Linked DNA regions of Lonchura striata. The protein of the gene in region 2 binds, or shares a complex with, the protein of the main gene of each other region. Links are inferred from orthologs where the notes say so. Each region holds a gene or a part of one and is shown on either strand. Other genes may lie near its edges. The genes, in order: WDR48, WDR20 and USP46.

Region 1 (7,018 bases), on a different chromosome or scaffold from region 2:
GCAGCACACAGCCAACAGCAGTGTCTGATACACCTCTGCATCCTCCCTCCCTCCCCAAATCAGTGTCTCACACACCTCTGCATCCTCCCTCCCTCCCCAAATCAGTGTCTGATACACCTCTGCATCCTCCCTCCCTCCCCAAATCAGTGTCTCACACACCTCTGCATCCTCCCTCCCTCCCCAAATCAGTGTCTCACACACCTCTGCATCCTCCCTCCCTCCCCAAATCAGCTTCTGACACACCCCTGCAGCCTCCCTCCCTTCCCAAATCAGTGTCTCACACACCTCTGCATCCTCCCTCCCCAAATCAGTGTCTCACACACCTCTGCATCCTCCCTCCCCAAATCAGTGTCTCACACACCTCTGCATCCTCCCTCCCCAAATCAGCGTCTGACACACCCCTGCAGCCTCCCTCCCTCCCCAAATCAGTGTCTCATACACCTCTGGATCCTCCCTCCCTCCCCAAATCAGTGTCTCATACACCTCTGCATCCTCCCTCCCTCCCCAAATCAGTGTCTCATACACCTCTGCATCCTCCCTCCCTCCCCAAATCAGTGTCTCATACACCTCTGCATCCTCCCTCCCTCCCCAAAACACTCAACCTCACTCCTGCAGCCTTCAAAAAAGCATGGCTAAGCTTCATGAACACCTGCCACTGGAAACTTGAAATGCTTTACTCCCATTTAAAGAGTTTAACTTGTTTTCTTTTTCTATGCATGGAATTTATTTTGAGGCCTAAAACTCTGATTAAACCATTAGAAACTAAAATTATATGCAGAAGCACCCTAAACTGACTATTTTGGATGGCTTTGCTTACCAGTAGAACAGGTGCATCCAAGCTAATAATAGTTCTGATTTCCATAAACTTCAACCAGCTCTCCTGCCATGTAAGGAATCAAGTTCCTCCTTGCCTAAGAGATGTCTTTTGTAAAAGCTTTTTCTTCCAGCCTCATAGGTTTGGAATAAATTTCTCTAATTCTGTCTCTCTCTCAAAAACTCTGTGCAGAAGCACCCTAAATGCTCAAGCACTGGGAATTAAAATTAATAATGAGTAGTTTTATTTTTCTATTAGCAGCTGATGGATAAAACAACCACTTAAAACTCCTTTACTTGTACAAATTCCTATTACAAACCAAGCAGGTGAAATAGTAAGAGTCAAGAAAAAAACCCTAGCTGCTAGACAAGCTTTATAAATGTTTATCATGGAATGGTTTGGGTTAGAATATGCTCTCATTCCACCCCCTGCAATGGGCAGGGACACCTTCCACTCTGCCAGGTTGCTCCCAGCCCTGTCCAAGCTGGTCTTGAACACTTCCAGGGCTGGAAAGCTTCTCTGGAAGCACAGCCAAGCTGGATGCAAACTCACAGTGCACTGCCAAGACACAGACCAGTGTTATGTATATCATGTGTCATTAGTACATGAGGTGAAAAAATACCACACAGCACAATGAGAACAGACAAAACATCATAAACCAGCACAAAACCACCTGTAAAAACAAGTTTTTGAGCTAAGCCATGCTTGGAAAAGAGAAGTAGTAGTAAAAATTGAGCTCTTTGAGGCATGCTGCTGTCAGGCAAATACTACTTCATAAATAGGAGTGCAAACAAATATCAAGGTACAATCAAATCCCCCTCCTTAGGGGTATAACCTGAGAAAACTTGTTCATAGCAGAGGCATTGTTTATATTTTAAAGCATGTCCTGTTTTTTGGGGTTTTTTTTTTCTAATAAAGCAAGGGGATTCCTTATATAGAATTGAAAGAGTGCTTCCCTTAACCACAGAAAACACTAAAAGCTCTATAAGATGCCCCTTTCTTCTGTGTGATAAATGATACGTCCAAAACCCAAACCCACCTCTGTTTTGAAAGCTCCTAATGCTACTTTTCAAGCCTAATCAATATTTCATTTGATCACACTGGATAGGTACAGCTGAAACTGGCACTTGCCACTAGGCTGCTTTAATTGATAAAGCATTAAATCTTTTCCATAATGAAAGCTGTAAAGACATCTAAAGGGCAGGCAGTATCCCAAGCAAGAAGAAAAGCATTGAGAACCATAAAACAAAACTACTGTAATGACTTTTTACACACACTTTGGTAACTCCAGTCTCAACCAAGGCTACAACAATCCACTTGTAGCTACACGTGAGCCCAAACAACCGCAGGGTTTAATTCTTCCTCAAATGTGCTGAGAAAGTCTACACCCATCTGACTGCCTGTGCCACAGGTTTCCTTCAACAAATGCTGCCTGGAGCCGGCAAGGAATAACTCTGAAATTTGAGGAAAAAAAAAAACAAAAAAACTGCTCCTCACTCACGTGTGTGAAGGGACAGAGTGTTTCGCAGAAATATGATGCAAAACAGATTATCGAATTATGGAATGGTCTGGGTTGGGAGGGACCTTGGAGATCTCCCAGTTCCAACGCCCTGCCCTGGGCAGGGACAGCTTCTTCTGGACCAGGCTGCTCAGAGCCCCGTCCAACCCGGCCCTGAAAATTTCCAAGGATGAAGCATCCACAGCTTCACTAGGAAAACTATTTCAGTGTCTCACCATGCTCGCAGTAAAGAATTTCTTCCTAATATCGAATCTAAATCTACTCTGGCACCGGACACAGCCGAGACAGGAATCTCAGCCCTGCCGCTGCTGGGAATACACCAAAGCAGGTCTGAGGGCACCGCTCTCAGCTCACCTCTCCCCGTGTGCTTCTCCGCTTTTGATCTGAGCTGCTTCAGCTCTGCAGCAGAACCCGACCCTGCTCGGCAGCGAGCAGCAGCTCATCCCCCGCGGTGCCTCAGCCACGGCGGCCAGGAGTGGCAGGGGAGACACGCCGGGGGCGTGCGGTGCTGCCTCCCCTCACCGCTGCCGCGGGAGAGCGGGGCGACTGCGCTACCATAGAAACCCCCAAGGCTTGACACCCTGCAGCCGCGAGGCTCCGGGCTCCCTTGGAGCCGTGCCGGCCCCGCCGCGCCCTCACCTGCACTTTCCGCCGCCCCGCCGTGTTCTGCCGGTGATGCGCCGCCATCTTGCATGTTGACACTGTGGCGTCATGTCCGACCGGAAGCGCCGGCCCCTCAGCCGGCCCGCGCGAGGCTTTTATACGCCAGCGGCGGCGGTGGGCGTGGCCAAGGGGCGCGGCCAATGGGGGCGCGGCCCTCGCGCCGCCCTCCCGCGCCGCCCGCCATGTTGCCGCTCATGAGGCGCCGCCTCAGCCCGGCCCCAGGGCGGGGCGGGTTTGTTCTCTTCCTCGTTCTGCTGCTCTTGTGTCCCGCACGGCCGCCGCCTGGTGCTCCTGCGGTGTCTTCGTCCTGCTTTGCTTCGTCTCGGCTGGTGGTGAAAGGCCTGTGTTGAAATAAGAAAGGATCCACTTGAATAAACCAAATCAGGGGTTTTAGCTGCCAATAATAATCAGATGGTCTTTTATCAGTAGTTCTGTATTTCATTAATAATAGCCAGAGATTCCTCTGCATCGATATTCTTGTTCATTAAGAAGTAGAGATGTTGGTTAGAGTACGGTGCTGATAACTCATATCCCCATATGGGCATTCTCTTAAAAGTTGGACTCGATCATCTTTGTGGGTGTCTTCCAACTCGTAATATTTTGTATCTGCTACTGTATCTTCTGGGTGAGGAGCTGTATGAAGCTGTATGTGAGACTCTATTTTCAGCACACCATTTCTTGGTTACTTCTTTGTGGTACATCAGTAAAGGTGCTAATAGTTAAGTCAGTGAAAAAGGAATTTTAAAACATCCCACCAAACCACATGGAACCCTTTGGAAAGGGAGGTATCACACCACAGGCATCCAGGTACTTGCACTTAAATGCATTAATTCCATATTAACATAGAGGGAAAAATTAAGGGAGAGATAAAAATGTAAGGGGTTAAGCATTAAATGATGTATTCAGGCATTCCTATTCTTCAGTGCTGGCTGCAAGGCTAAGTAGAAGATAAGGATATTTTTTACTTCTGATTTAAACTTTTTTGTTTTGATACAGGTCACTTTTTCTAGCAGTGTAGAGCTGTATGTCCTCATCGCAGTTGCAGGTGGAGTGTGTGGTTTGTGAAATGAGATCTGCCTTGGCCAAAGTCCTTCCTTCACTGCAGTGTTTCACGGAATCACGGAATGGTTTGGGTTGGAAAACACCTTAAAGCTCATCCAGAGCCATCCGCTGCCATCCCAGGTTTCTCCACTATCCCTGGTTGCTCCAAGCCCTGTCCAACCTGGCCTTGGGCACCTCCAGGGATCCAGGGGCAGCCACAGCTTCTCTGGGAAACCTGTGCCAGGACCTCCCCATCCTCACAGTGCAGAATTTATTCCTAATAACTGAACGAGAACCCAGTATTTACTGGTTAGATTAAGCAAATTTAAGACAAAGTTAATGCTGCAGTAGTAACTTCTCTCTAATTCGGCAGCAAGAGTTGCAGTTACAGACACAGCAATTCCAGAGAACCACTGCAAGCACTGGGCTCATTGTACAATGTTATGTGAATGTATTTTTGTGGCTTTTACAGCAGATTTTAGACATGATGGAGTCTAAAACAATGGGTTGTTTTACTCGAATACCTTGCTTATGCAGACATAGAATATGGTATCTCAGGAGATTTTAGTCACACAAAACATTAAAATCGTACTTTAGATCACCAAGTTTCACATCCCATAAAGCACAGCCCAAATACAGCATTTTCAAACAGTTGAATCTGAGTCATGCCCATAAATTATATATAGCCTGCAGCACTTTTGGTTTCAAGCTACGTAGAATCTGCCATGTCCTTTGGGTATTTTTTCTGTGATTATCTGATTTTAAAATGCATGTCTTTATATCTTGAACTTGTGTGTAGCTCTTAACCCAAGTAGAGAACCAATTACAGCTTTTCCTGGAGGATTAAAGACCTTTTTTAAATGCAAAATATTTTCTACTTGTATTTGTATAATTATATCTTTTGAAAATGTGTTTGGGAGTGATGTCCTAAAACAAATTAGTCAATTTATCCCAAAACAGCTTCAACTCCACTGATGTAATTCCCAGAGATATCAGTTTAGTCCCTAGTTGCAACAGATGGTGATTCCAATACCTTCATCTCCAACATATTCTACTGCTTCACTGTTCTCACTTCCAAAAATGGGTTTCCTTGTGCTTCCTCTGAATTTCCTGAGCTGCAGCCTCAGCCTGTTACTGCTTGGTTCACTCCTTGTGGACATGAAGATGAGTTTGTTCCACATTTCTTCTTAACTATTTTTTCATGCTGTTGTGTTTCCTTCCATCTTCTCTCCAGTGGACAAAATCATACTTCCCAGGCTGCAAATCATTCTTACAGTGTATTTCTAAAATCTTTTAACATTTTGGTTCTGTGACTGTCAAGCTTTGACAGAGAGAATGCAGCAGCACACAGAGGAAGCTGGGAAATTCCACAGCATTCTAGAAGTCACTGTTATTAAGGAAATATAATCTCTATACTCTTATTACTTGCTCTTCATTACAGTGTTTATTCACTCTATTCTTACATTCTGGGCATTTCCATTCTTCCTTCTCTCCCCGTTTCAACATCCTGGCTTCACTCCTGAGACCTGTTTGGTTCTCCAGCACTTCCTTTTTGGCTCAGCAGCAGTTTGCTCACTGCAATGTTCTCAGAAATTCACAATCTAGTCTAAGAAGATCAGATTTTCATGGAAATTGAAAAATAATCCCTAGACTCATATAAACATCATATTCTTTCTCTTCCAAAACCTAAAGCAAACAGCTAATATAGACAAGATCATCTTACCACTCTCCTACTAGGAAATAACACAAACATCTTGAAAGGCTGGAAGGTTTCCTGCATAACAAAGAAATCATTACCTACCATGTTTTTTTATGTAATATTGCCTTTAGTTCAGGTTTGGTAAACATACACACAAAAACCAGAAAATTATCACTATTATGATACTCATACTTTTAGCTGCCCTCAGTAAATGTGATCTTTGCTGGACCAGGCAATCTCCAGAGATCTCTTCTGACCACAATGGTTCTGTGATACAAAGGCATCATTGTGCATTTTTTTTCACCTTAAATTTAATGGTCTGACAAGTTGAACAAACACTGCATTATATACACTAGTAGCTGTCACAATATACTTAAAGTTCCTTGATGGACAAAAAAAAAAAAAAAAAAGAGAAAACCCCATTTTTAAATTGCATAGAAATGTAAAAAGCAAACTTCTCTGTCTATAAACAGTCAATTTTAAATCAAATGTACAAAAGTTGCTGACTGCTCATAAAGACACAGTATTATTCTTTCTTAAATGAATAATCTGATGGTGATTATGGATAATGAAGTGATGGCTGAGGTTTATGAATGAAATTAGTACTTCATTTGATCAAAGAATAACACAAAACTAGCATCTGTATTTCACTACCTCTGAGACAAGACAAGAAATCACTTAAGTGTATGCATGAAAATGACTGTGTTATGAGAAGAAGTAATCTGCTTCTTAATGGACTAATGTATAGTGAAATGTAGTCAGGCACTTTACTCAGTATTTACTTACAGGGAAAACTTCACTTTGCCTCATTCTTTTCCAACCCAGAATCCAATAAATCTCCATCCTGTGTGCATGACAGCATCTGAAACACCTCAGCAATTACCATTAGCCTGAAGTCAGCACACAACTCAACTGAAAAAAACATGCCTTCATTTTATATTTGAAAAAAAAAACCAATAAATACATTTCAGATTTGTCTTAGGAGAGATATTAAATCATAATCTTCCCACTGCTCTGAAAAAAATGCTTCCCAGTGTGAGTAACAATCAGGTTCATGACACCTGAATGTACATAAGTCTATGGGGCATGATGAGATACATCCCAAAGCCTGAGGTATTTGTCTGCTGTAGTTGCCAAGCCTCTCTCTAAGTATTTGAAAAATTCTGGCAGTCAGGTGAAGCCCCAGGTAACTGGGAAAAGGGAAACATTTTTGCCCATCTTTAAAGAGGGTAGAAAGGAGGCTGCTGGAACTCCCACCCCGTCAGCCTTCCCTCTGTGCCTG
Region 2 (7,357 bases):
GGGACTGACTTCAGTTTATTGGTTGTGTGGCGCATACAAAACACCTCATTTGGGGTGTCCTCCTGGGATCATTTCAGAACTATCATCTTTGGTTAGCTTGAAACAGAAGAATTTTCAAGTGATACAGGAATTTTTTTTTCATAAGACTTATCTCTGTAATCTCTTTTTCTCCTAGTATTTGATGAGCATTGTTGATGGGTTGTACAATAGTGTTCTTGTGACTCGCAGCTGTGTTTTTCAAATGAATATTTGTCTTGGATTCTCCGTGGAACCTCTCAGCAGCTTTTATTGATGTTTCTTGTAAATGTAAAACACTACATCAATTCTTTGACTTTCTACACCATCATGTACTGCTGATAACCAGGTACTTGTTAACTTTGTTTATTCTTTGGATCACACTCATTCCATCAGTGACAGATGGCCTGTTGTGGTTTCAGTACAATTTGCATTCCACACAGTCCCTCTACCAAAGTTGCCTGCTTTCTTCTGCAGAGTGATCTATCCTGTGTTGTCAGTGGGTAATGGATGACATACTGAGTATGCCTGCTTGGAGCAACATTTTTTTTTTTAATTTTGTTGTTGTTGTTACATCTTTATCTGTTTTGAGTATTACTACTTAGAGATCCTTGCTGTTCCTGCTCTTCTTTGGCAATTCTTTGGGGAAAGAAAATATTCTTTCTCTCTGGAACTCCATTAATGAAATTTCTTTATGAAACAATCACTTTTAACATGATTTTTAAAAACATGCAGGGCTGCTTACCTACTTTATGTGCTTTTAGGAGGTCATCAATACCATCTGGCAGGACTGGCTGATAAGCTGACAAGATCTATTGGTCATTATTGATTTGGTTTATCTTAAGAATTTCAAGCAAGTCTTTAATACCTAGCCTTTTAGAAGTCTAATCATCTGTACTTGTTCAGATATTCACTCAGATACATACTCTGTTCTGGAGATCCTTGGCTGTTTCAGGTCTCAGCTAACTTTTACTAATATTTTGATGGTCAGCAGCAAGACAGTATTCAGCTACAAACAAAATCTCTTTGAACTAAATTGACTTGAAACTAAATCCCTTTAACCCCGTGCAGTCTGGAAGACTGAGTGGACCTCTTCAGCTGAGCTGATGTAATGGAAAGAAGGAAGGTCCTGCTGTCCATTGCCTTAAGCAGACAGTGTTTTTAACATTTGCAAGGAGTTTAGTTGTCTATCCATTTACCTTTTAGAAATGGCTCCTCATAAGGTCAGGAGGGCACTGTGGCTGGTACAGGAAGGAGTAGCAGCAGATAGATGTAGTCCAGAAAGAAAAGAGCAGGACAATGCCTTTGGTAGCAGTCACATTAGAGCCACACAGCTACAGCAGGAAACTATACCTTGAAAGTGTGTTTTTTTATTGCTAACATAAAATGTTCTAGTTCTTTGCTGCTTATCTTCCCCTGGTTGCACACTACTCCTTCCTTATTTTGGCTCCAGCAGTTCTTTGGGTGAGTTGAATCAAACTGGTTGCTGGTCAACACTTTGCTTACCTGAGAACTCATAATTTCTGTGTGTGTGTGTTAACTTTCAGGTGGATCTGACTCACCCTTTGGTTGCATGATTACTAGAACTGATGCAAGGCAGGTAATGGAAATACCCGTAGAGGAGGGGCCAAAACCTTTTTTTCCAGCTGGAGATCAGTCTTAGATCAGTTTGAATCAGTCATGAGGCTGTTGTCAGACAAACTCTTAAAGCCAAAACTGCTGTCAGAAGAAACAGTCCTACCTCCTTGCCCAGTGAATACAATCCTTCCCACCAACCCTGTGCCACCTCCATCTGATATTGATCTGGTTCACCATGCAACACAGCTGGCAGTATGGCTGCAGGATGATCAGAACAATGAGGTGAGAGATTTGATAACCAGTTTTTCAGGTTCACACCTCAGGCCAACTCCCAGGCCTGGCTCTGCCTGCAGCAGGTTGGAGCCTGGTGCAGAGCTGGAGGGATGGAGGTGCCATCTCCATCAGGGGCACCCCGAGCTTGGCATGAAGTGCCAAAATACAGCTGCACACCTGGATTTGCTGTCCCTAAACTCTCAGACTCTCACAGCAAGACTCACCAGGCTTCCAGGCACTGCCAAGTACCCTGTGGGCAAAGCTGGCCCAAACGAGCCAACAGAGATGTCCAGAGCTGTGTGTGAATGGGAGCTCTCACCTGGGAGCCATTGCCCCAAAACCACTGCTGCACATGGACACCTCCTGGCTCTGATCTGGCACTTCCAGCAGCGGGGATCACCTCACCCCACGCTGTGCTGGCACAGATGCCCACATCCTTAGGTGACCTCCTCCTCCCCCTCTCTCCCATCCCCCAGAGCAGCTGCCCTGTGGAGCCACCATGCTGGGTAATGCTGCTGAGACAACATCTGCAGTGCTGTGTCCGGTTTTGGGCTCTGCTGCACAAGAGAGACCTGTTGCTCCTGGACTGGGCCCAGTGGAGAGCTACAGAAATGATTAAAGGACTGGAGCATCTCTTTTAGGAAGAATGGCTGACGGAGCTGGGCCTATCCCGTGTTGAGAAAAGCTGAGAGGGGACCTCATCAATGTGTATAAATATCTAAAGGAGGGGTGTCAGAGGATGGAACCAGGTTCTTCTCGGTGGTGCCACGGGCAGAAACTGATGCACAGGAGCTCCACATGAACATAGGGAAGAACTTCTTTACTGTGCACACTCTGGAACAGGTTGCCCTGAGAGGGTGTGGAGTCCCACCCACTGGAGATGTCCAGGAGCGCTCCGGACACAGCCCTACTCTGCGGGATGACTGTGGGGGGGGCTGAGGCAGGGGGCTGGGGCAGGAAGGCTGGGGCAGGAAGGCTGGGGCAGGAAGGCTGTGCAGGGGGGCTGTGCAGGGGGCTGGGGCAGGAAGGCTGTGCAGGGGGCTGTGCAGGGAGGCTGGGGCAGGAAGGCTGTGCAGGGGGCTGTGCAGGGGGCTGTGCAGGGAGGCTGGGGCAGGAAGGCTGTGCAGGGGGCTGTGCAGGGGGCTGTGCAGGGAGGCTGTGCAGGGGGCTGGGGCAGGAAGGCTGTGCAGGAAGGCTGTGCAGGGGGCTGGGGCAGGAAGGCTGTGCAGGGGGGCTGGGGCAGGGGGCTGGGGCAGGGGGGCTGTGCAGGGGCTGTGCAGGAGGGCTGTGCAGGGAGGCTGTGCAGGGAGGCTGTGCAGGGAGGCTGGGGCAGGAAGGCTGTGCAGGGAGGCTGGGGCAGGGGGGCTGTGCAGGGAGGCTGTGCAGGGAGGCTGTGCAGGGAGGCTGGGGCAGGGGGGCTGTGCAGGGGCTGTGCAGGAGGGCTGTGCAGGGGGCTGGGGCAGGAAGGCTGTGCAGGAGGGCTGTGCAGGGAGGCTGTGCAGGGGGCTGTGCAGGGGGCTGGGGCAGGGGGGCTGTGCAGGGGGCTGTGCAGGGGGGCTGTGCAGGGAGGCTGGGGCAGGAGGGCTGTGCAGGGGGCTGTGCAGGGGGCTGGGGCAGGAGGGCTGTGCAGGGGGCTGGGGCAGGAAGGCTGTGCAGGGGGCTGTGCAGGGAGGCTGTGCAGGGGGCTGTGCAGGGGGCTGGGGCAGGAAGGCTGTGCAGGGGGGCTGTGCAGGGGGGCTGTGCAGGGGGGCTGTGCAGGGGGCTGTGCAGGGAGGCTGGAGCAGGAAGGCTGTGCAGGAGGGCTGTGCAGGGGGCTGTGCAGGGGGCTGTGCAGGGGGCTGGGGCAGGAAGGCTGTGCAGGAGGGCTGTGCAGGGGGCTGTGCAGGGAGGCTGGGGCAGGGGGGCTGTGCAGGGGGCTGGGGCAGGAAGGCTGTGCAGGGGGCTGGGGCAGGAAGGCTGTGCAGGGGGCTGTGCAGGGGGGCTGTGCAGGGGGCTGTGCAGGGGGGCTGGGGCAGGGGCTGTGCAGGGGGCTGGGGCAGGAAGGCTGTGCAGGGGGCTGGGGCAGGAAGGCTGTGCAGGGGGCTGTGCAGGGGGCTGGGGCAGGAAGGCTGTGCAGGGGGCTGTGCAGGGGGCTGGGGCAGGAAGGCTGTGCAGGGGGCTGTGCAGGAAGGCTGTGCAGGGGGCTGTGCGCGGTGTCCCCCGCCGGGCCCCTCGGGCACGCCGCCGCTCCCGCCCGAGGCCCCGCCCACTCACAGCCCCCGCCCCTTTCCCCGCCCCCGGCGCGCGGGCCCGGCGCGCGCGCAGTCGCGCGGTAAACAGGCCCCGCCGGCCCCGCCTCCTCGCGTCGCCCCCGCGCGCAGGGGCCGCGCGCGCGCCGGCGGCTGCGCAGTGTCGGCACATCCGGGCACTGGGGCAGGATGAGCGCTCCTTTCCAAGATGGCGGCGGAGGGAGGTGGGAAGGAGATGAACGAGATTAAGACCCAGTTCACCACCCGGGAGGGGCTGTACAAGCTGCTGAGCCACTCGGAGTACAGCCGGCCTAACCGCGTGCCCTTCAACTCGCAGGGCTCCAACCCCGTCCGCGTCTCCTTCGTCAACGTCAACGACCAGAGCGGCAACGGGGACCGGCTCTGCTTCAATGTGGGCCGGGAGCTCTACTTCTACATCTACAAGGGGGTCCGCAAGGTACCGGGGCTCCCCCGCCGGGCTGGGGCGGGGAGCGGCGGGGCTCCGCGCCGCCCGCCCGCCGGGGTGCGGGCCGCGCCGGGGGCGGGGGCGCGGGGCCGGGCTGCGCCTCGCTCGCTGTCCCCACTCCCCGCGGGGCCGGCGGCTCCTCGGCTCCGGCCGAGCTCCGCTCAGCCAGCTGGCGGCTGGGCGGGGGAGAGCGGGCCTGCGGCGAGGGCGGTGTGAGGGCATCGGCGGCGGGCCGGTGCTCGGGGCTGCTCCACATACGGTGTCACCGACGGGAGCCGTGTGTGTGGGCCCTGTGCAGGGATGCGATCGCTTGGGCGCTCCTCGTGCGGGAATCAGGGTTGGCTTTCCCTCCCTCGGCCTCCGTCACCTGCTGCTTCAGGTCAGAATTTGCTGGACACGCTAATGCCTGTCGTGATTATGGTGGTGTCAAATCCCTGCTTCCAGGCTCTTCCTAGCTTTGGCTGCACGTCTGAAGCATTCGGTGCAGTTTTAGGCCTTTGTTATGACTTAGAAGTGTGGGTTGGTTTTAGAATTATTCCTAAATGGGAGTGGTGTAGTGAGATGAGTCTTAAATATCAGATAATTGACAGAGAGAAAGTTGCTTTTGCAGGATAAAAAGATTGATGTACTTGAGAGAGACACTTCTTGCTTGTCATTATTGGATGCAGTACAGTGCATGCATTTGATCTCTCAGGTCACCATATTTATGAACAAACCCTTCTCTCAAACAGGATTGAGAGAACAATTCGGAATTTGCTGTGCTAGGTGAACCCACGTCACTCCTAATAGATATAAACACATATATAATGAATGTCAGTTTTCTGCTTTGTCTCAGATAGTGGGTGTTCGTTATTTTACATGCTTGGGTCTCAGTTGCCATCATGTGATCGCCTTGAAATCTTCCTGCTTTTAGCTCACCATTCAGCATGGGATGAGGGCACGGAGAGCTAGAGACTCACACGAGGCTGTGCAGGAAGCTCGTGGATGAGCAAGGGATTATACCTGAATCTGCTGTGTCCTAGGGGAGTGCCCCCAGCACTCCTCCTTTCTATAAAATGTCGGCAGCAGCAGGAGTTTAAAGTCTACATGGTTGTTTGTTAGACTGTGACCTAACAGATCTGATATGTCTTGTATAATTATATGTGAAAGTGTGTGTGTGTATTTAGTTTCACCTTTTAATGAATTTTAATAATCTAGGTATGTTTCAAATAATGCTTGGACAATGGCTTCTTTAAGGATACAAGGAGTATTTAGTATCAAACAGTATTCCCTACTTACAACCAGTTGCTGTCTTTACAAGGTATCCTGAGGAGCAGTATCTCTGAAAATCTACATCCTAAATTGTTGCCATGTTTGGGTCCTGCTGTTTGTTTTTTCCATGCAAAGTAGCTGCAGAGTTCTCTGAGCTCACAGAGCAGGCCTTTATGTAGTTTAGTAATGGTACATGTGATTCTTGCAAGTTCTCTTAGTCATCTCTTGCCACACTTCTGACAAATAAAAATCTAAAGGCTGGAACTTAGTTGACAATAAGGAATAGAATAATTATAGTTATATCAAATTACAAAAGTCTTCTTGAACTGGGTATTTAGATATTTGGTATTTAGATTTTTTAGATGCTAAAAGCTACTGGTATGGTATGCAGTAACTGAGAAATTTGAGTTTGTGAACTCATGAGCTCTGGAGGCATCTGTACCTGTGACAGTGTGAAATACTTTTTTCTCTGAATAGAGTGAAACATAGACATTGTTAGGACAGAATTAATCTCAATGACCTTTTACAGTATTAACTATGTAAAACAATACTGTATATTCTATATGTATAATACTTTGGTAAAGTGAACCTAAAGAAAGAGCTGAAATAGATTGACTCACTTTAAGGAAAATGCTTTAAATGAGAATGAGAAGATGGTCTGATTTAAATCTGCAATACTTGCTGCTTTGGAATTTATTTTGGAACTTCAGTTGGAAGTAACTGTTTTGTCTGTGTATGAAAGTGAATCAGGAACAGGCTGACAGCCTGTCAACTGATCGTGTGAACTTTTCAGAATCAAAAGTTCTATCTTGTGGCTGTCATAAAAGGGAGAGAGCTATTGTTACTTAAATGGACACGATGTAATTCTGCCTTAAACTGGGCAGACTATCACATTTTGTGTTCCTTCCTGTTCCTGGGATGAGGATGGGGAAAGGGATTTGATCTGTTTAAAACCCAGCTATTTGTGCTCCTTGGCGTAATACAGGTGCTGATAACTTCAGTTTTACCTGTTAGTTCATAATTATTTATGTATTCCTTAAAAATTTTCCCTGATTACTTTTAAGATCGTGATTTTCATTCTGACTAAGTCATATTGGAATATTGAGTTGAATTTAATGACGCTGTGCTGTGTGAATATATCAACTGTGATTTTGTCTTTTTTTTTTCTTGTTTTTTCCTTTTTTTTTTTAAGATTATTTTAAGACCTCTTTTCTTGATAGGAAAATGTTACATTTTTCCTAAAATGAGCAAAAGAACCACGAGGACTGTATTTTAAGTGGCTGTGTCTGTTTGGTACTGAGATAATTCTTGCATCAGTAATCCATTGCAGATCAGTACACATTAAGGAAGAGCAACACTTAAGCCACGAATGACACTGAAAAATAAATAACCTAATATTGAGTCACAGATACCACTTGGAAGGCTATTTCGTGACATCAATAATGCTAATTTTTCTTCTTTTAGTTTCCCTTAAATGCTTTGTGTCTGCTATATCTGGTTTGTAAGTCACCTTTTTACATGAACTGCTGATGTGTGTGTTGTCTTA
Region 3 (7,252 bases), on a different chromosome or scaffold from region 2:
CACTGTTCCAAGCTCTTAACACAGTGTATTTGAAACTCAAGCAGAAGGAAAACGGCAGGAGAAAGATATATATAATGAGATAATCACAGCTCCGGGCCATTATCAACATTGGACTGGCTGCAGAGGCTTTAGCAGCTTCTTCATAGGATAGAATTTAATGGCTTGCACTAGAGAACTCTTAGACCCTTTGTATCTACTCAGTCAGCTTTTGGTACCTTGACATCAATGTACTTGCCTCTGTCTTATTCTGCTCTCTTTGGGCTTTCAGATCTGGTGTCTGGCCAAGAAAAGATGATGTCAGATGTAAATGTGTTTTGTTTTCTTCTGTAGGGTAGTAATTTCTGAGAAAAATTAAGTGATGATATTCTCTACTTGCCAACTAGTAAAAAAATAGCAAAAGGTAAGCAAGATTTGGGGATCAATTTAATGCAGTTTTATTTCCATACTTTATCTTTAGAATGCTGACAAGTCATACTGTCACCAAAACATGAAGTTTTACAGTATTTTGAATCAAGGAATAATTTCTCAGATAATTTGAAAATGCTGGGTAGGTGTTGCTTTGAAGATGACAGTCTTAAAGAAGAATAGTGATTCTAAAGTTGGGTTGATTTTTTGGTTTTAGACTCTCCACATTGTCTATGGATTTCCATGAATTGTTCATGGACTACAACTCTTACCATTCGAATTTCAGGTGCAGATGGAGTGGTTTCCATGGACCTGCTATGAGCCATGTGCCACAGATTCAATCCATAGGCTGCAAGCTGGTGTTTGGCATTGTTCTAAAGCCACCAGTCTGTTCTGAAATGAGGCCAAGCTTCATGGAAGAGCCTGATTTCTCATTCTTGTGTCTACATATTTTCCATTTTGTTCAAGATATTTTGCTATTTTTTGGTAGAACATCATTTAATATTAGATACAAAACATTTTAAAAATTGTAAAATTCTAAACCTACATTGTCAGCACTGCAAGTATTTCAGATCTCTGAATTCTCTTATAATTCTTATATATTTTCCATGCTTCAAGAAAACTTTTTTCCAACTTGTAATTGGTTGGAAATATATCCTGAATTTGATCTATTCCAAATATTTGTTCAGCAAAACCGACTGATGATTACCTACTTCTGGGCCCAAGTTTATTACAAGAAAAACATAAATGAACCTTTTGTGGAATTTTACAAGATTTCTGGAAAGGAAATGCAGTATCGTCTTTGTAGCACAGAATGAACAGATATTCTAGTCTCAGATTTGCTACCAACTTTCCTGTGTTAACTTTGGGCAAGTCACTAAATTTCCGCTGGCAATTTTCTTGCTTTGTAAAAGAACCTAATATTAATTTGCCACCAAATAATTTAACAACTCTGAGTGAGTGCCTGCAAAATACTCTTGCAAAAAAGTCTGATGGAAAATGTTATGGAAATCCACGCCTCTGTTAGCCAAGGAGGATATCTACAATAGGTCCATATTTTATGTAGTGAAATCGAAATGTTCAAGTGTAAAACCAGATGAGACCAAGATGGATCTAAAATTAAATGCAGGAGGTATTTTTTGACCTTTCAACAGAAATTATATAAGCACTTTTAGGTTATAAATAGTCCTTTGTTTTCCTTGTCTTTGTCTAACACTCAGAAGAAACACAGGGTTGGTTGTTTGTTGTAAGGAGATAGGGCAATGCTTCAGAGTGGAAACAATTGTGCACTGTTCTTTATTTATACAATTCTTATAAAGTTTGTAACTAATATCTGTTGCATTGCTTAGCACTTTTTTATCTTCAAAAAGCTACAGGAATAAAGTTTCTATTCCTGAAAATGACAACAGCAGAAGAAAACAAACACAGATACCAGTCCATTTCTAGCATGAAAGTTTCTTTCTTCTTTCCTGTTTTGATATGTCTGAAGATTGAAAAAGACAGTGCTAGACTATTATCAAACTGAAACATAATTTCCTGTATATTATTCCCTATTTTTATTATTTATCTTCAGAAACAAGGCATGAAATATGTTCACCTTTAAATGAAAGTATTTATATTATCATTAAGGAATATGATACTGAATTCTTTATAGAATGATATGTGTGCATGTTTACAAACATTCCCTTGAACAACTAATAAGTGCTTAATCAGTAGCAATTTAGTTTTGTGTCAAAAATTCTTTAAAAATCAGAAACAACTGAAAATTAAAGTCAAAAAAAGTCAAGTAATTGGCATTTGAGAAAAACAGAAGTATGAAAATACCACTTTTTTCTTTTTTGTTTTCACACTTTCTATGATTTCTCTGGAGTTTGTATTATGGAAATAATGTTATTGACATTAAAATATATGTGAGGCAAATGGCTTTATTAGATACTGCATTTTGTTTCATTTAAATTTTTAATCACCTTTCAAACCCATTTGTTTGTTCCATAACTTTTTACTGATAGCAACTATGATTCTCCACAGTAAATTGGAATAAGTAGGCTGCAGAAAACAATACATGATTAGGCTTGTGTAATAACAGGCATCAGTTTAAAAAACAGGGACGGTGCAGTACTGTCCACTCTCTGCAGGCTACTTAGAAATGTGCTGGAAACCAATCAGACCTTGATTGCTTCAGTCCTGACATGTCGGCTTAACTCCCATTTTCCCTGGTTATGTTGAGAAAACCTGTCATATTATGTGTAATCCAGTTCTCTGAGTTTAAGCAAATTAAATACTTGGGATCAAATTCACACGTAATGTAAGACCATGAACTTAATAGAATTATACCAAAGATAATTTTTTCCCCATGTTATTTAATGGCCCTTTTGAATAGTGATTTGTGGATTAATGAAGCAGTTTAGTGGCCCTGAGGACTTCATTCACTCCGTTAGGTACAAAAATCTTTCTCCATCCTGTATGTTGAATGTCTGCAATGATTTAATATAACTAATCCAGTTTAAGGAAGAAAGAAAATTCTGTCTCTGTGACAACTTGATTTTGAGTTTCTTTGCTGAAGCTGTCAGCAGGATACCAACTAATGCCAAATTTGATACCATTTTTATAAAGTGGGCATTTGTCTACAGTGAGCTGGATTAAGGCCACTTATCTAACAGTATTCTCAGGGTAGGAATTTATCTTTAGATGTTACTGCTGATGCCAGATTTTTATTCCTAATCATAGATCTTTATTTGAAATGATAATTAAAAAACAAAACAAAACAAAACAAAACAAAACAAAACCAACAAACCTGACTTCAGAATGTTTCCAGTAAATAAAGCCTGTGGATGCAGGCTCTACATGCTGCAATTATTTTATTCTAGCATCATGAACTGAAAGGCGTAGCCAAGCATGAGCATGCCACGCTTGAGGTGCTGTTAGGAGCAGAGGTGTCTGTAGAAATGTTAATAGTTCTCTCTTCATTTGAATGATTTCCTCAGCATAGCAGAGGAACAATAAACGGGCCTTAAGCTCCTGCTGAACAAAAAGCAATATCTGCTAAGGAAAGGCGAATTCTAAGATGAGGATTTCCCTAGCTGAACTCTGTTCTTGCTTCCCTCAGAGATTTGCTATGTGACCTCAAGTTAGCTATTTAACAACCTTGTGCCTATTACCACGTGTGTAAATTTAATATACTTACACTGCTCTGCCTTGGAGAAAGGCACGGGCCTCAACTTGCTTGTGTTTGAAGAGAAACTGAGATTATTACATTTGCCGTGTTGTATAAATGGTACATGTCGTGAATTTGTGAGTGAGCACTTGCACACGTGGTGTGGACACAGTCACAAAACAGCATTTGTGAAGATAAATGTTATCTGCATGAATGGCAATGCAAAGCACCAACTGAGGGCAGTAAATTACATTCCAGCCTACTGTTCTGGATTTCGCAAGTACCTGGGCTCCTCTGTACCTCCTAACCAGGTGGGGTGAGCACGTCCCAAAGCACAGTGCCGCCGTCCTCCTGCCCGCACTCTGCCTTCCTGTCCTTCACCCTGCCTGCCGGTATGGCTGCATACGCACTGAGGCCGGGTTTCTCAGCCCCATGGCTGTTCCCGGCCCGGCGATTAAAGCACCCCGGCCCCTGCCGGACGGCCCGTGCGGAGGAGCGGCGGGCGCAGCTCCCCGCGCCCCGCAGCGCATTGGCTGCGGCGGTGGCCGCCCCGCCGAGCCCGCCGGGTGCCCCGTGCCGGGCGCTGCCTCTGACCTTCCCTTCCCTTCGCTTCCCTTCCCCTCCCCGGCGCTGTCAGAGCGGATCAGCGGGCGCGGCGCTGCGATGGAGCGGCGAGCGGCAACGGCGGCCGCCGGGAGAGGAGGAAGAGGAGGAGGAGGAGGAAGGGAGAGATTAGCGCGGTGCCGGCTGGCGCAGAGGCGCGGCTGAGCGCTCCAGCGGGAGCCCGGGGCCCTGCGGACCGTGCGAGAGGCAAAGGCGGAAGAAGCGGAGATGCGGCCGCTCTCCCCGCGCTGCTGAAGCTCCCGGTCACTCGCCCGGAGGAGGGAGGCCGGGAAGGTCCGTCCTTCTCGCTGCTCTGCGGGCGCAAAGGGTGCCTGTGCAGTCCCCTCCTCTTGCTTTTATCCCAGCCCCGGAGCAGGAGCCGCCGCCGCCCCCTATCCCTTCCTGCGCTCTTCCCACCATGAGCGGGGCTGTTTTCACCTTATAAAGATGGCGGTGTGGGATCGCTGCAACCTTTAGACTCATGACTGTCAGAAACATCGCCTCCATCTGTAATATGGTGAGTGCTGGCGGGGGGCGGGCGGCACGGCAGCCCCTGCGGGGGCTGGCTGGGGGGCTGCCCCGGGGGCGCAGCCCAACCGCGCGACTCCATCCCTTGCCCCGGGCAGGCTGCGCCGGGAAGTGCCTGGGATGGAGTTGGCCGAGGAGAGTGCGATGTCCCGAGGAGTTTTCCTGGAGCAGCCCGGGCGTGGGCCCGGGAGGCACGGAGATGCAGAATCAGTGCGAGGCCCCACGGAGCGGGTCTGACCCCGGCCGAGGCGCGCCCTTCCTCCGCCTGCCCTTCCTCTTGCCCTAATACTGCTAAAGGACCAAAGTTGGGTTCTGAATCCGCATTAAATCAATGACCCTGTTTAACCCTCTCAGGCAGGCACTCTGTGGTCTCCTAGGGCCGGGAGCTCCTCAGATTACATAGAAAACGAGGATGTTTAGATGCCGAATAACACCTAGGTGCCTGTTCTAGAAGTCTTGGCTTTAGAGCTAACAGGGTTTAACTTGCACTATATGCTGCTCGAAGAGAACTGGTGTTTGTAAAGTACTCTTGAATCACTTGGCTTTCTCAAAACCACTCAGGCAATTAGGAAGGAATAAGGAAACGTTTATATTTTTGTTTACTATGTTCACTTTGCTACTTTTCTCCCCATGGAACAGTTGAAACTATGTTTTCTGCATTGTGTTTGGGTTTAATTTAAATTTTAACAAACTAGGAGCACTTAATTTGATTTAGGTTTTTGAAACTTCTTGGCAGGAGGAAAAGCTCAAACTATGTCAAAGACTTTTTAATACAGTGAGACTGTAGCAAACTTGCCAAATAAATGGTTGCATGCTAAGCATCCCAATGCAAACAGAAGAGAATCATATTTTTGTTAATTTTCATTTTTTAGTCTGTATTTTTCACCCTTATTTCCAGGTTCTTCAAGAGCAGCTACACACAGTTGCCAGCTTGCCTCCATGTGGTGCCCCAGCATGCCTTGTGCTGCTGATGCCACACATACCATTGATCTGCCCTGGAGAATGGAGCCTGTCTCTAGGGTAAGGCAATGGGCACAACCCCAGAGGCCTGGCTCCTGCGGGGTCTGAGTGAGGGAGTGCAAATTGCAAGCCTGCTCCCCTTCCACGTGTCCACACTTCCACTTAAGTGGGATTGCTTTTTGGTTGCAAATGAGATGCCTGGGAAATCCTATGCATAGGTTTGATTTGAACCTCAGCCCTCCCTTTGAAATACATGGTTTGAAATGCAGGGAGGGTGTGTTGATTCTGGGCTTAAAAGAATTAATATAAAATCCAGATTTGAGGTATAATAACCTGGATGCTCACCTTTCTTCACCAACAGTAACAAGTTTTCTGAACTCTTCATTGTTCTTAATGATTTCCAGTCCAGTGAGCAACAAATACTGCAAAAAGAGGTTCAGGAAATGGTACAGGACTGCGGAGAAAACCTAGGTGCACTTACCTTCTCTCTGAGACAGGCTTCAGTTTTTACTCATTAATGGTGGATGTAATGCCTTGCAAACTGTATAAAAGAACACTGCATGAAGGGGAGCTGGAGACTCATAGGTGGATGTAATACCTTGGCATAAAGTGCTAGGAACTCTGACTTTTTCATGTGCTTCAGGCAGTGCACTTGTACGCAGCACACTTCTCCCAAAGACTGAACAGATTCACAGCAGAACTGATGAGGTTGTTGCAGTGGTGTGCTGCAAATGTAGCATCTGAGAGATGGAGAGACCGAAGGGAAGAAGGAGAGCCCCAAGCAGAAAAGGCATACAAGGATTCGTACTTTAAGGCAATTCTAGCTCATGGTACTGTGACAGAAGGTGCAGTCGATGTAATATTAATGATATTTTAAGGCTACATATTCCTTGAGGTCTGTGTACTTAGCTTTTAGAGATGCCATGTTGTGTTGGTCACATTTAGCTTCTTCTGGATAACCCTCAGGGACTGGAAGTTCTTTTAGGTATAAACAATGGAGTTTTAGACAGCTACAGGAATTTGGGGCTGTAAGAGAAATACAAATTCTTGCAAGTGTTGACAATATTGTATTATGGCTCCTCCAAAAATGTGTCCACTCTGATGAGGTGATGGACTTGAACCAATGATCTGTAGAAGGAGCTGTGACAACCTTCCAGAGGGCTAGAGGTATAAAAGTAAACCTTTGCTTTTTTAAAACCTAAATATTTGCAGCTCTAGTTTGATTTAGGACATCTGTAGAAATCTATCTAGAAAGATGCTGAGATGCTGATTCTCAGACCTTGCTCCTGCACTATAATATAGTGCTTGAAAACTGAGCTACTGACAAGTTGTGGACTAAGAAATAGCTGTGTAGTTCTTAGGTAATATATAATGTTACATAATAGTAGGTTTCTAAGTTTGTTAACCTGGCTAAACTCAGTAATTAAAAAAGGGGTTCTGGTCTTTATTTTTTCCCATTCCACTTTAGAGTGTTCACAGAGGGTTTTTCAGTTTTTGAAAAAAAAAAGCCCCCAGAATTCAAACAATTATGTCTGGTTGATTTTTAGGGGTGGCATGGAGAGTAGAGGAAGAGAGACAGGCAGCAATTGGTGCTGAAATACT

The links.
Region 1: the proteins of WDR20 (region 2) and WDR48 are in contact, whole or in part, in a crystal structure (PDB 5K1C), measured with the Homo sapiens proteins. The link is inferred for Lonchura striata from reciprocal best matches to the Homo sapiens genes WDR20 and WDR48. Residues at the interface, in NP_653175.2 of Homo sapiens: Arg20, Ser364, Thr384, Glu385, Asp386, Glu524, Pro525, Leu526; in NP_065890.1 of Homo sapiens: Val191, Lys207, Gly208, Gly240, Gln241, Gln242, Arg243, Cys244, Ile245.
Region 3: the proteins of WDR20 (region 2) and USP46 are in contact, whole or in part, in a crystal structure (PDB 6JLQ), measured with the Homo sapiens proteins. The link is inferred for Lonchura striata from reciprocal best matches to the Homo sapiens genes WDR20 and USP46. Residues at the interface, in NP_653175.2 of Homo sapiens: Asn41, Ser42, Gly44, Arg151, Lys259, Tyr261, Phe262, Gly263, Glu282, Asp283, Asp284, Leu285, His301, Lys304, Ser305, Trp306, Gln374, Asp375, Thr376, Leu509, Arg516, Met517, His533, Glu534, Arg535; in NP_073743.2 of Homo sapiens: Asn205, Thr206, Ser207, Thr209, His210, Arg213, Arg273, Val275, Phe276, Pro277, Glu279, Leu280, Arg281, Phe283, Asp293, Met295, Gln338, Glu342, Tyr344, Thr347, Ser348.

What each region holds. Positions count from the first base shown.
Region 1 is NC_134603.1:151,959,139-151,966,156, reverse strand, and holds the start of WDR48 (WD repeat-containing protein 48), read right to left. Parts: upstream 3,054-7,018; 5' UTR 3,021-3,053; coding exon 2,973-3,020; intron 1-2,972. UniProt on the Homo sapiens protein: Regulator of deubiquitinating complexes, which acts as a strong activator of USP1, USP12 and USP46. Enhances the USP1-mediated deubiquitination of FANCD2; USP1 being almost inactive by itself.
Region 2 is NC_134608.1:11,010,742-11,018,098, reverse strand, and holds the start of WDR20 (WD repeat-containing protein 20), read left to right. Parts: upstream 1-4,259; 5' UTR 4,260-4,302; coding exon 4,303-4,551; intron 4,552-7,357. UniProt on the Homo sapiens protein: Regulator of deubiquitinating complexes. Activates deubiquitinating activity of complexes containing USP12. Anchors at the base of the ubiquitin-contacting loop of USP12 and remotely modulates the catalytic center of the enzyme.
Region 3 is NC_134606.1:26,394,353-26,401,604, reverse strand, and holds the start of USP46 (ubiquitin carboxyl-terminal hydrolase 46), read left to right. Parts: upstream 1-4,183; 5' UTR 4,184-4,643; coding exon 4,644-4,679; intron 4,680-7,252. UniProt on the Homo sapiens protein: Deubiquitinating enzyme that plays a role in behavior, possibly by regulating GABA action. May act by mediating the deubiquitination of GAD1/GAD67.